Drosophila melanogaster: one gene and its partner. The gene in region 2 interacts genetically with the main gene of each other region. Each region holds a gene or a part of one and is shown on either strand. Other genes may lie near its edges.

Region 1 (7,541 bases), on a different chromosome or scaffold from region 2:
AACAATTCTATAATCTAAAATCTTTAAATTAATAGAGACATTCCTAATTTATATTAAATAGTTTTTAGCAACAAATAAAATACCTCCTATATACCTTTGTATATAGTTATATTTCTGTAATGGACCAAAATTTGTATAGGTAAGTTACATATTTTTGATAGGTGTTCAAAAAGCTTGATAAAAAAAACAAATCGAAAAATTTCCATATATTTGGGCTCTTATTTTTTGCAATAGATGATGTGGGTATGTTGTTGTTTGATTGTCAATGAAAATAGCTGAGCTTGTGAGCCACCTACATATATGTATGTTCGGCATATACATACATACATATGTATATATAAATCGGGGAATATACCTAGAGATATGTAGTGGTAAACTGGCTGGCAACGCCGTCAACAAATGAAAACTCCCCAGGGAGTTGGCGCATGTTTGTTGCTGTTGCTACCGTTGGATGTTGCTGCTGCCTCGTTGCCCGGCGCTTTTCTCGAGGGGATTGGCCAGAGAGCCGTTGCCGACTCCCCTGAGAAATACATGGCAATGGGTTTTCTGTGTTTTGTGCTTTTTTCGCGCGCCCCTCGCCGGGCACATTGGTGCGACAGAGATGGCTGCAAAAAGAGCAAGCCAAAGTTCGCTTTTTTATACGTTGGGGAAATTTTCATGCCCCAGCATGAGGATATCTCTCTCTGTCTCTCGCTCTCTCTCTCTCCCTCTACCGCCCGTCTCTGTGTGTGTGTGTGTGAGTTAGTTTGTGTGTGCGCCAGTTGTCCTTGGGGGCCTCAGATCCCCCCTCAGCTGGCCACCCACAAAACCACCCACTTACACCCACCAGCCCACCTCCACCTCCACCTCCACATGCACATGTGTGCATTGGATTTATTGTCAATTTTATTTGTTATCATTGTTGTTGCTGCCGCTGCTGCGGCTGCTGCTTCTGCTTTTGCTCTGCTGTTATTTACACTGACACAATTTGGAATTGTATTAAAAATTAACGGCACTTTGGTTGCCTTGGCTTGGCCCGGCCGCAGAACGGAAAATGGAACCGAATCGAAAAACTGCACCGCACTCCCAGCCAGATCACAAAAATAACCAAACGGCAATACTGCGTTTTGGTCAACTAGCTTTTCATGTCCTTCAACATGTTGTCCTTGGGCCAAAATCTATGCCTAACACTTTAGGATATTCTAACTAAAAATGGATTCTTCTTCAATACGCGTAAATGTTATTGAACATAAACTGAACCAATTAACAAGAAAAAATGCAAATTAATCACCAAAGTTGACATCTTAATTAAAATCTCAGAAAGGAAATAATCTATCAAATAATATATGTAAACTTGACTAATTTATTCTTCCAATAATATTTTATTTATCCACAATATTTTTTATTTATATCAACCAAGAAAGCGTATCCCCCATTCGTCATGGAGCCGTTTTTGTTAACCATTTACTTGTTGGTTGACCAGAACACTCAATGTTTCAACCTCATACTGGGTGGGTTTGTTTGGGTTTCGGGGGTCTCTTGGCCCCCAGAGCACCTGCCTCGTCCCCGCCTTGCCCCGACCCCTCCAGCCGACCGCCCAGCCGGGTCCCAACCAGGGCTCCCTCATCCACTATGCCCTCCCCCCCTCCCCCCTCTTTGGTCGCTCTCTATCACTGACAGTTAGGTGTGTTGATCCCTGGGGATTGACCAATGCCTGCAAGCTGCTGGGCTGCAGCCGGTTTGGGTACGGAATGGGATTGGGATGGTACGGCATGGTATGCTCTGGCCGGGAATCGGTAGTCGAAACTGGAGGGCAGGGGAAATGGGCAATAGCCCAACCGGACCGGATTGTGGGCCATAGCAGGCCGAGGCCATTTGCATTTGTCACATTTTGCGGTCCCGCGAGCAAAGTTTGGCAGAGTAATGTTGTGTCCACTCCACCCCTCCCCCCCACCTTTGGGGTTTATCAAAGCAAATCAATCAGATGCACGCACACACAAACAGAGACAAACACACGGAGTACACTCGTAAGCAGTGGGACATGCTGGAACACACTCAGGATATGGAAATGGAGACCATGTCAGTTGGTGGCCACCTGGGGATTCGAGTCCTGCCACTGACCACTGGCGCCCAACTTACGTTTGAGACAGGCGCGCGGCTTGGCCTGTTTGCGTCGGGACATGGCCACGTTGGCTATTTAAATCACTGTTTCCGTTTCCGTTTATAAAGCTGCTTTAGTTTGATTTGACTTGATTTGATTTGATTTGGCTTGAGTGGGCCTAGCTCGCCGTGCGGCTTCCGTTTCGCGCCAAAGCGATTTGTTTTGGTTTTTTGTGTCACAGCCAGCGAGTCCTGGCAAACGCAGCGAATATCCTTGTGCCTTGAGCGTCGGCAACTGACTGAATGCTGGCCCAAAAAAGGTGGCATCAAAACAGAAGCTCTTAAAACAAAATGGTATGTCCACAGCGCAGTCGCGAACAATAAAAGAGCGACAGAGATTGGCAGAGAGAGCAATCAGATGCGGAGAGAGCAGGATGAGGTGGTAGAACAGAGCCACCCAAGAACTCCCAGACATCCAAGCAGTGAACCATCTATCAGTGCTGAACTTATTCCCCTGGGGGTTGCTTCGCTTCCATCCCCTAGAGAATACCGGCGCGGCACCAATCACGAGCGTTTCTGGGTGCCTTTTGAAGAGCCAGGGAACCCGGTAGCCCGGTAGCCCAGCAGCCCGGGAACCCATGCCGACTGCTCACAGTGTGATAGATTCTTCTATTTTGTTGCCCTCCCCGCTCGCCTGTTGCAATTATAAAGTCAAGTCAATTATTTTATAGCCGACTTTCGCACGTGCGTATGGGGGGTCCATCAAAAGGGGCGCGATCTCGAGGCGATTTCGATTCTCCCAAGGTGCCCTGCGAATTGCAGTTTCCACTTGGTTTCTCAGCAGCGGGATAACCAACGCACACCGCTCAGCTCCTTGGTGCACCGTGAGAAACGTGTCCAGAAGCAGAAATTCTAGTGCTTTGGCAGCGGGTGACGACGACATGGGCAATGGATCCTTTGTTGTGCCATCCACTCATCCATATTTCAGGAGTACCACACGCTTGGGATACGAAAGGTGATGTGGTGAGACTCATTAAAGGCAAAGATTGGTATGGAATGAATTAAGGAATGATTTAAAGTTGTGCTAAAGACAAAGTAAGATAAACCAACTGTGAATCCAGAATGTGTTAGAGAATGAATTTAAATTCTGTTTTAGTTAGAGATCAAACTGTGACCTTGAAATCGTTCTTATGTTCTTATGTTATATATTTATATATCTTTTGTTACTTCGCCGTTTGTTGTTTAAAGTATACGTTTTCATATGGGGACTTAACGTTGCACATATTACTAAATTGTTTAGAAAAATTCTTGGAAATTAGTGGTATACATTAAACCTCAAAATTGGAAAATAAAACTTATTTTCCCAAGCGGATTATTTGTTGGCAAATTGTGAGTGCACTCACCACTGGAGTGGTGTTTTTACATATTTTTTTCATTTTTTTTTTACATTACATTTTAAGAACTTGGAAGCATATAAAGGTATATTATTGCACATAGTACAGAAATAGTAAGACAGCTGAACGAATTATATATTTTGATGAAGATGAATTAGTAATACTATTGTATTGGATATAACATTAAAATATATTTAATCGCTTACAACGATATATCTTTTACATATTTCAATATTTATTGGATATTCAGGATTCTAAATAATAGATCTTGTGGATGGTTTTCGCTGAATGCGAACAAAAGAAATTCAATTACTGACCAAAATTATGCTAGACCGATTGAATTCATTTTTCGCCGCCGCAATTCGCCTTGCTTTGAATGTTAGGCGCCACCTACAGTAATTTCTTGAAAACTGTTTGGTAGCGACTGGCGCTGTGACTCCATAGATGTCGCTGGTGTGACACTTAAAGGCAACGGTATGTTTAAAATAAATATATTTCCTCTTAAAGTCAAATTGCATAAGAGATTAAAAAAATTTGATGTACAATTAATAAACAAACAATGGCGTAATAATTGTTTTTAGACGGTACCCTTTAGTTTTGCGTAGTGTAGTTTAGCTTTAATAGTGTTTAATTGCGTAGTCAAAGTCGAAGTAAAATAAATAAGAGCAGTGATTTAAAAATGGGAATACAAAAAACCGAATTTTTTCAAATGCACCAAAACCATTTGTTTAAACATATTGATAGGATCACAATAGAGATCTTGATAATAAATATTTAAATGCTTAACCATAAATCTCCAAAAAAAACTTCGTTATCCCATTCTTATCCTCGATATCTCATCCTGGCACCTTGGGCACTTCCTCTCTTGGGATCCCAGAGATCTACATGAAAATTTGATACGCATATGTCGCGGAAATCGATCGATCGAGGGTCCAGTTCCGGATACATTATTCGTTCGCCACGCAACTCCCTCGCCTGATTCCATTCATGTATTCATTCATCAGAGGCCTCGATTGCGCTTGGAACCTCCGTGCCCCATACTTACTCCTTACTCCCTACTGCCTACTCCTTACTCCCTGCTCCTTACTCCATTGTTTACTATCGTCGAAGATGCGTAGTAAAAGTAGCGGCGAGCAGCGCCAGTTAACCCAGTGTCTGCGATCTGAGAAGATCGTCGCAAATCGGAGGAGCGGACGAAGAAGGTTCGGACGAAAGAAAAAAGGAGAAGAAACATCTGTCGCCACGAAGAAATCCGGTTGCAAGCTGCAACACCACCGGCTCAAAATGAGCAACAACACAGAGAACATATGATTGAACTGCCCGAATGCCGCATAAAAATGGGTAAAAAACGAAAAATCGAAACGCACCTTTTGTGTTTTTGTTTTTTTTTTTTTTGTTTTTGGAGCAGCTGCCGTTGCTGTCGGTGCTTCGTCGCCGTTGCGGAGGATCGACGGGTTTGGGGGGAGCACCAGACTCTGCACTCGGCAGCCTGTTGATGAGCCCACAATGCGCACATGCTGCAAGCTATTCGTGCCGCGGATGATATGGGCTCTGTGTTGAGCCGGCGGGTCCTCCATAATGATAAGTGCCCGTCGAGGAGGCCGTCCACATTAAATTCGGCGTTTGTCGCTCAATGGCAGCTGCCACCGATTCCTTCGGCGGCTTAAGCAAATCCAAAGGACTGGACGCGAGGGACGAGCTTGAGTGTCGAAAGTTCAGATAGGTCAAGTTGTCAAAATATTCGGAGACAGTTGTCGGTGCTTTTCGATTCATTCATAAAATTTGCGAGGCTCTGATCGCTGAATGAATTTGGCAATTCGCCTTGCAAGGCAATAAAATTATAAAATAAGGTTTATCAGCAGGTTAAGAATCATTAACATTGTTATTCCTTATTTTTTATAAATATTTATTTGGCATAAAAGTATATCAGTCATCAGAATTTTATTCGTGGTTAAATTGTCAAACTTCTGCTGCATATTTCCACTGGCACTGCCTTTTGTTATCCGTTTCCTGTTTCAGAATTCGCACTAGTCATCCTAGCAGTCAACATCCCTTTTGGCGCCCTTAAATGTGAACATATGCCGCCTGTTTGTTTTGTTTCGGCTATGTCACCCTTATGGTTGCTTTTTCTCTCACTGCAATATTGGGTTATATGGTACATGTTTTCATTTTTCAAAAACACCAGGCTTAATCTGAGCCCAAAAAATTGCATTTGAGTATAAAAATTATACAAAAATAAATAAATATTTTTAAATTTTGTTTTATATTTGAAAATATATATATGATTTGAAAATATGATATATTTTGCATGACTTTTATTTCATTAGTGTCTAGCTTATCCTTTATCTCTTATTTTTCCCATCGATCCGACAACGCTCGCCACTCTCGCATGTCATTTGCCAGATGTGGCAGCCCGCAGGCACAAATTTTGAAAGTGGTGCCCAGAATGCGATGAGGACAAGCAAGGCTCATTCGAAATTTGTGCGTGCAACGCGAAGGACGTGCCGCTCCGTAGCTCGCTGTCCCGCTCTCGCTCTCCCCGCTCTCTCGCTCTGTCGCACGCGTTCGCCGCTTGGCATTTGTTGTTTGCCACATTTTCGCGGCACCCCAAAAAATCGTGAAAATACAAATACAATACGAGTGCGAAAGTCGAATATCGGCAGAAGTTAGTGCGACCTTTGGTGACGTCAGAGGCTGGGAAAAATCGCCAGGATGTCTACCAATCAGCAGCAGCAGGCGAATCCTTCGGCGGCCGTTGCCGCACCCGCCGCCTCCTCGGAATACCTGAAACGCACCTGCCTCATCTGCGGCTGCCACACCAACCAGACGATCAATATCTACGAGCCCCGCTCCGGACCCAATATCGTTCAGCTAATCCAGGCGAAATTCAAGTTTCAGGTATGGATTTTTCCCAACTTAGAGCAAAAAAAATAAAAACTCAGTTAGGCGGGGAACGTATAAAAATCGATATTGGGGCAACTCGGCGGATGAGTCATGCAACGAAGGAACGTCCTTCGGACAAAGTTTTCCCTCTGCGCGTGTATCCGTGTGTGTTTTTTTTTTTGGGTTAAAAGGGGATGAACTTCGCTGGGCGGAAAATGGGAAAATGGGTGGCACTTCTATAGGCAGGTACAGGTAACTCCCTCACAGCAGCCCACTGGGAAAAAAAGAGTGGCAAGCTATTTGATGATTGATTTCGAGCGCAGTTTTCTAATATTTTTAAGTGATTATTTGCAAAGAACTAAGGTCTCGGAATTAGTAGTTCTATCACAAACTACTTTCTTAATGAAAATTTCAAAATCCTTTATCCCTATTAGTTTTGTGGTATGCCCACCTTTTCCTGTGCCCTTTAAACTGCATATCCTGTCGCCGAGCAGATGATGCATTTCCCCGACAACCTTTGGTAATTGGACACTTTGCATATGTGCCAGTGCCACAGAGCCGCCACTTAGTTCGATTCCTTTCCCATAATTTTTAACAGCTTGTTCTAATATGCGAGCAGTGCGGTGTGTGTGTGTGTGGGAAATGCGACAGCGGAAGATGGCCAGGGAAATCGATCCTGGCTGAAGATCCTGGGCTTGTTTTTCTGTGGAAGTGAGTTTCGGGTCTCGGATTACAGGCACTCCTCCTCACTCAAATGACTACCCATGACTACCTGTACCGGCGGCGCACACATAAACCTGCTCGAAAGGGCAGATGTGCTGTGGATTTGCCGAGATTGCTCCAATTTCTGCGGGCAGTGAACGAACCCGGTGTGTTCGTTCTCTTCGTTTCCATATCCCAAAACGACAGCTGTATTTGCCGGTCGGCACTCAAAATCCAACCCATCGGGGTTTCTGGATCCTCTGCTGCTGCTGCTGCTGCTTCTTTATCAGCTCTTCATGGTCTCGAGTGAGTTTTTTCGCATATCAACTATTGAACTCGGATACCTGGATGCGAGTTCACAGTTTATTGTTTGTGAGACGAAGGGATTTTCCCCAGCAGCATTGGTGGTTGAACCCTTGGAGAATGCCAAATATCTTTGGATAGAAATTCCGGTTTCTTAAGCTGCGCAAATCCAAACAAAGG
Region 2 (5,880 bases):
TTCACGCAGACGCTCTCCAGCACCGTATCCTCCTTCTTGTAGCCGTGCGTGAAGACAGCATGGCGTGCAGCCATTAGACCCAGTCCCAGATAGCTGTGCGTGAAGACGTTGATCTTCTTGCTGGACGTGACCACCTCGTGCATGTACTTATCGTACACGGGCACCTGGTCCGGATCCGTTGGCGAGAAGGTTACCTGCGTGCTACCGCCGCCCAAGTCCAAGGCAGCTGCCTGGTTCGTCTTGGACAGGCGGCCCAGCAGGAAGTTCACGGTAAACCAGCTGAAGATGCCCTCGTCCGTGCCGTCCATGATCTCCACGGCATCCATATCCACACTAAACTCGGACTTGGCGAAGAGATCTCGGACGGCATTTAGAATGTTTTCCGCCTTGCTGGCGGGCAGGAGTCTCAGGCCGGCGGTCGCTTTCAGAACCAGCGGTGTGGAAGACCAGTGCTCCTTGGGTATGAAGGCGCGGGCCTCGTCCAGCAGCAGTTTGATGGAGTGGGCACCCTCGGCGGGATTATCCGCGAAGGAGCTCAGACCCGGCTTGCGCTCCTTGAACAGCTCCTCGTACAGCACCAGTTTGTTGTCGATGAAGCTGCGATTGAACTTGTAGGCCAGCACACGGCTGCCCGTCGATCCGGCATCGATGATGGCCGCATACTGCACCTTGCTGTAGCCAAACTTGGAGGCCAAACGGGCCAGATACGGACTGGCGTTCTCGGAGACGAAGCCTGCATCGTTGTCAGTCGTTGGTTTATTGGCGATGGGTTTTTTAGTGATAACACGGCGAACGGGTGGCGCAAAATGGGGTTCCACGTGGGCGTAGGGCACGGTAACAGTGGGAAAATCAGAGGTTTTCGTTAGTACAACTTTGGGCACTTCGTCTTTTACATAATACAAATGGTACACACCAAAGACAAAGAGCAGGAGGATGACGGAGATGATCAGGCACAGGAAGGAGATCTTGAGGCCGCTGGGCCCGCGGTTTCCACCACTGCTGGCATTTGGTGATCCGCTACTTTTCCGCCGCGGTGGCTTCTCATCCGTGGCCAGCTGAAAAGGCGAAAGACAAATTAGTTTTGTGACCGACTACTCAGTTATTTGATGGTGTTTTTCTTGGCCAAGTTCATCGGGTCTACCAGCTTATATTCGTATTTCATGGTTCGTTCCGTTGCCTCTGCTGGCTCCACATTTATGCATGGCCGGTTTCTTGGTCGGAACACATTTCAGTTGTTTGCTGCTCAAATATTAACACGCTGGCTGTTTGCTATCTCTGCGAATGTCAATGAATTTCATTTCTTCTCTTGTTTTCGGTCTATTTTACGGGCTTTATCGTTAACATGTGCCAGGGCTGCAGAGTCCGTGGCTCATCGATAACGTTAACCAGGGTTGGGCCACACTTTTGGCAACGGTAATTTAGGGCAGTTGGTAAACAGAAAACCGTTACTTCAAACAAAATAACCTTTTAAAGCGCATTACTTGGATATTTCCACGATTAGTATATATTATTGTTCTACCTAACTTTTCGCTAGTTTATATTAGTTCTTATAAGAACAAACGATAAACACTAAAAATAGTAAAAAATGCGTTTCTATGGCTTTAGCTATGGCTATTATTAATTTTCTTAAAATATAAAGTCATGCCAAATTACACATTTTCGCTGAGGAAGTCAGCGAAGCCAGTGGCCATTCGACTAGAATCTTATCGCGTAGCTTTCTGGGCGATATGACAGTGATAAGACGCAATCAGTTTTCGGGGGCGATTGGCGCGTCTGGGCACCACTGGCAACAATCATAAGTGGGGCAGGCCACGAAGCGATCTTTTAGCTTGATCAAATATTAAAGTTCCCAAACAAACCTGATGAAATTCCCATTGTTTAAACAAATGTTACGCTGTTGGTAAGCGACTGACGCAAAAAAAAAATAGTTAAAGCCAATGAAAAGTAGTCAAACAAAGCACAAATAGCGAGTATATATAATTAAGCAGTAATGGAGTTGACAGGTAGATGGTATATATATCTATATCTATACAATCAAGTACACCCATTAGTTTCGAATACACATACTACTTCCCAATAATTACACTGTTGGCATAAGTGAAACTCATTAAACATTCAGGGTGTGAACTTAACGCATATGTTTCCAGGCGCACGCTACTGCAATCAATAAATCTACTGATAAAAGGCGCCTTTTGTGCCGATCTAGTGACTAAGAAGCCTGCTCCCCATTTATAAAGGGGAATACTTTAATCGGTTCTATAGATAACTCATTTATTTCGAAGCCGAACACTATTTTGCATCAGCTGAAAAGTAAATCTTAAGTCTTAAAGAACCCTAATTGATAAATGTATCTTGAAATATATAAATATGACGCACAAAATGAGTTGAAAGATACAAACATTGAAAGCTGGTAGAAGTGTGCTATCTAGAAAATGCTGATAAGTTTAGACACAGATGTTGTGAAAACAACAAATATCGAGTTAGATACAAAAGTATCTAGTATATATTGTAGTACCGAGTACACGTAGGTACACGAGGGTTAAGGCCACGTTAGCAGCCAGGCACTATCTGCACTCACTTGCAACCGGTTCCGGTTTGCCCGCATCCTGTTCTCCACCCACTTGCGATGCAAATCAGTCGAAACTATGCGATCCAATCGCCCCCGAAATGGGACACTCTATGTGTACCTGTGATCTTTGGGTTCCGATGCGAGAAAGCGATTGCAAAAGTTGTCTAGCGAGATTCGGTCGAAACGGCTGCCAACTGAATCGTTGGACTTTTCTATGCTTTTTTTTTATCAGCCCCCCCTAATGACCTTGCAAATGAGAAAGTTCCTGCTGACTGGTCACCCTAATGCGAATACGAAAATATTTCAAAATAAACCGGCCGGCATTAAGATGTTGATAGAAAACCCACTAGTCATCTCTTTCGTAACTAAAATCAAAATTTGCATAATTGTTAACAAAAGCGTGCTTAGCGGCCATTGCGTATCTATATTTAAATGTCTTGTAAACATACATTTTCAGATACAAATTGGCACAATCGAATAGAATAGAACTTGAAACGATTATTCTGCGAGTCATTTGATGTTTTACTTCCGCGTCAAAAGAGCAGCAATTTGAGGAATTCGCATGTGTGCGTGTGTGTGTGAGAGAGCGCCATGAAATTGGCATTAAATTTGTGCTGTGGATTGCCCTTTTGACCTTTTCCTTACTTTTCTCTTTCGCACATCGGTGTTCGTCATTCTGTCGTCGTTACTTTTCACTTAAATTATGTAAATACGCGAGCGTTTGTTTATTTCGGATCGATTGCTGCCGATCGCCGAGCGGAACGCACTAATGTCGATCTAATCTAATGATGGCCGCGCCCGCCGAATGATAAACTCTGATCAGGAAGCCAACGCGCACGGAATGGCGTCTTGGAATCAACTAAAAACATTTATTTACCACCTGCTCATTTATATGCTGCAGCCCTATCAGCTGTTCGCTGCGGCGCCCACTATCAGCGCATACGGCCACACTGCGGGGGCGGCAGGGATGCCAAAAATTGATGTGGATAACATAGAAATATTTAAAATTGTGAAATTATTCGATTTTGATAAGTATACTTCTTAACGGAATTCTGATAACAGGTGCAGAAATCCAGTGCATAGTACTATAATTGACATATATTAGAGGATTCGTTGTGCCTTAATCCGCTATTTAAATCAATAAGGATTTATCATAGATTCATTCGTAGATTCTTATCATTATTTTGTACCGACAAATAAGATAATTGGATTCAATAGATATTCATTCAAGCTAAGTGTAGATTAGATTATATAGGTATATCATATTTCCCATTAAGATACTTGCCCATTCCAAAATTGGGTTTTCTGGATTAGACATTGAGATAAGAAACCAGTGTTGAAAACCAACACTGAAAACTGCTTATGAATTTTCAAAAACGCTCGGATAAACACATTGCTAGATAAAACTCAGATCGTTAGACAAACCGGTTCCAAAAATCATTCATTAAGTAAGAGAAAATCGAAATTTTTAGCAAATATGCGGTACCGACATTTTCCAGAACTGGACCTATCGTCGCACAGCTGATCGCCCGCCAATCAGCTGGGCGATAGTTGCCGTATCGATAGCCGACCCATCGATAACGATATGTGTATTTTCCTGCTCTCTCTGCACCAACACAAAACACGCAACTAAATTTCGGTTAAAAACCCCTACTAAAAACAATGCAATCGAAACGGAACCATATAAAGTGATTAAATGGCCAACGCGGCGGAGGCGAAATGCGAGCGCAGTGCATTTTCCGGATGAAATCGCGTTTTCGGGGAAACTTACACAAACATTTTTTTCGTAAGCGCTCTCATGTTGTCTCTTTCGCACAGCAGAATTACTAGTTGCTGTGTGTGTGCGTGCGTGCGTTTGTGTGTGCCGTATGCCGTGTGCCAGTGTGTGCGTGCGTGTGAGTGTGAGTGTGAGTGACTTTGACTGCAGTTCGCGTACGTTTTTTATTAATACACCACATAACAACAATCACAACAACAACAAACAGTAATGGAAACTAAACATATTTAATGCGAGGAGACCAGAAATCGTCTAAAACGGCAAGGCTTTATCACCATCGCCACCACCACCAACAGCACAGCAACAACAACAAATTACTACAGCATATATGCTAGTGTGCGTAAACGTATTTGTGTTAAATAATGTTTAAACTGGCATTTCTGATTTCGCACACAAAACAATATTAAGTTGTAGTCACCAGCAGAGAGGAGCAATTGAAGCAAACGAAAAAGAGGTAAGTGCAAAAAGCAGACAATTGTTATAAACAAAATGTGTCAAAAGTTCGTCATGTCGTCGCGCGCTCTCTCTCTCTTTTTTGCTCGTTCTCCCTCTCTCTCTCCGCTCTGTCCTTCTCTCTCCCGCCACGCCGAAAAGAAATTAATTTTGATATTTTTTCCCTGCTTTTTTGTTGCACTCTCTCGCTCTCGCAAACTTTTAATTTTAATTTGCTATGCGCAGCGAATTCGCGCGCAAAGGCAACAAAAAAAGAGGCAATGCAAAGGCAGCAGCAACAACAATACAGGCAAAGTAATAAACGTCAAAATGCCAGACGGACAATTCCTCTCTCATGCGCTCTTTCCGTCGCTGTGTGCGTGCGTGTGTGTGTGTGTGTTTGGGTTTGCTAGCTTTTTGTTTTTATCAATTATTTAGGTAGGTGTTTGCCTTAAAAAGAATAACTGAAACGCAGAAAAATACCAATACTTGTATACTCCAAGTAAAAAAGGGTGAAAGGACACTATCGGCTCAACAAGGAGAATGCAAATGCTATAAGTAGGAGGGGGAGAGAGAGTCACACGCACACACACCTCAAGCAATTCTGATAAGAACAATTGTTATTTGTTTGAAAGCCGACATTCCAATAGTCCACGTCCATTCGCCCAAACGTTGAAAATAATCGACAAACTTAAATACTATTGTGTTTGTTCGCGAACCCAGAGATGCTTTGCCAACTGATGAAATAAATATGGCCAATGCCGTCAGAATAAAGCGAAAATACCATTGTGGTTGGAATTCTCTTAATGTTAACATTGATTACTCCATTTTCTACTTTCTAAACAATGTATTGTATTCAATATTTATATTGATAATATCGAAATAGATAATTGCAGTATTTAATTGTTTTTGTACTTCGAATTAGAAATATGACTTTAATCACGTACGCAACAACCCATGCTTTCTTCCTAAGAAATGACAAAATAATAGTCTCCACGAAATAGGAGAACTCCATACTCAAAATATAAGCTTCAGAAGTTTATAGCCTAAAGCATTTTCCTAAACAAACAGCTTTATAGAAGAGTCTTCAATGAAAAAATAA

What was found.
Region 1: of lilli (region 2) and phyl, changing one suppresses a phenotype caused by changing the other (phenotypic suppression), as found in Drosophila melanogaster (one study listed by BioGRID).

Annotation. Positions count from the first base shown.
Region 1 is NT_033778.4:14,430,738-14,438,278, reverse strand, and holds the start of phyl (phyllopod), read left to right. Parts: upstream 1-5,941; 5' UTR 5,942-6,185; coding exon 6,186-6,371; intron 6,372-7,541. Other genes in the region: L (lobe), read right to left, coding at 2,119-2,161. UniProt on the Drosophila melanogaster protein: Essential adapter component of E3 ubiquitin ligase complexes; involved in R7 photoreceptor cell differentiation, embryonic nervous system, external sensory organ development and specification of particular muscles.
Region 2 is NT_033779.5:2,881,779-2,887,658, forward strand, and holds the start of lilli (lilliputian), read left to right. Parts: upstream 1-4,150; 5' UTR 4,151-4,800; intron 4,801-5,880. Other genes in the region: NTPase, read right to left, coding at 1-1,055, 3,215-3,244. UniProt on the Drosophila melanogaster protein: Has a role in transcriptional regulation. Acts in parallel with the Ras/MAPK and the PI3K/PKB pathways in the control of cell identity and cellular growth.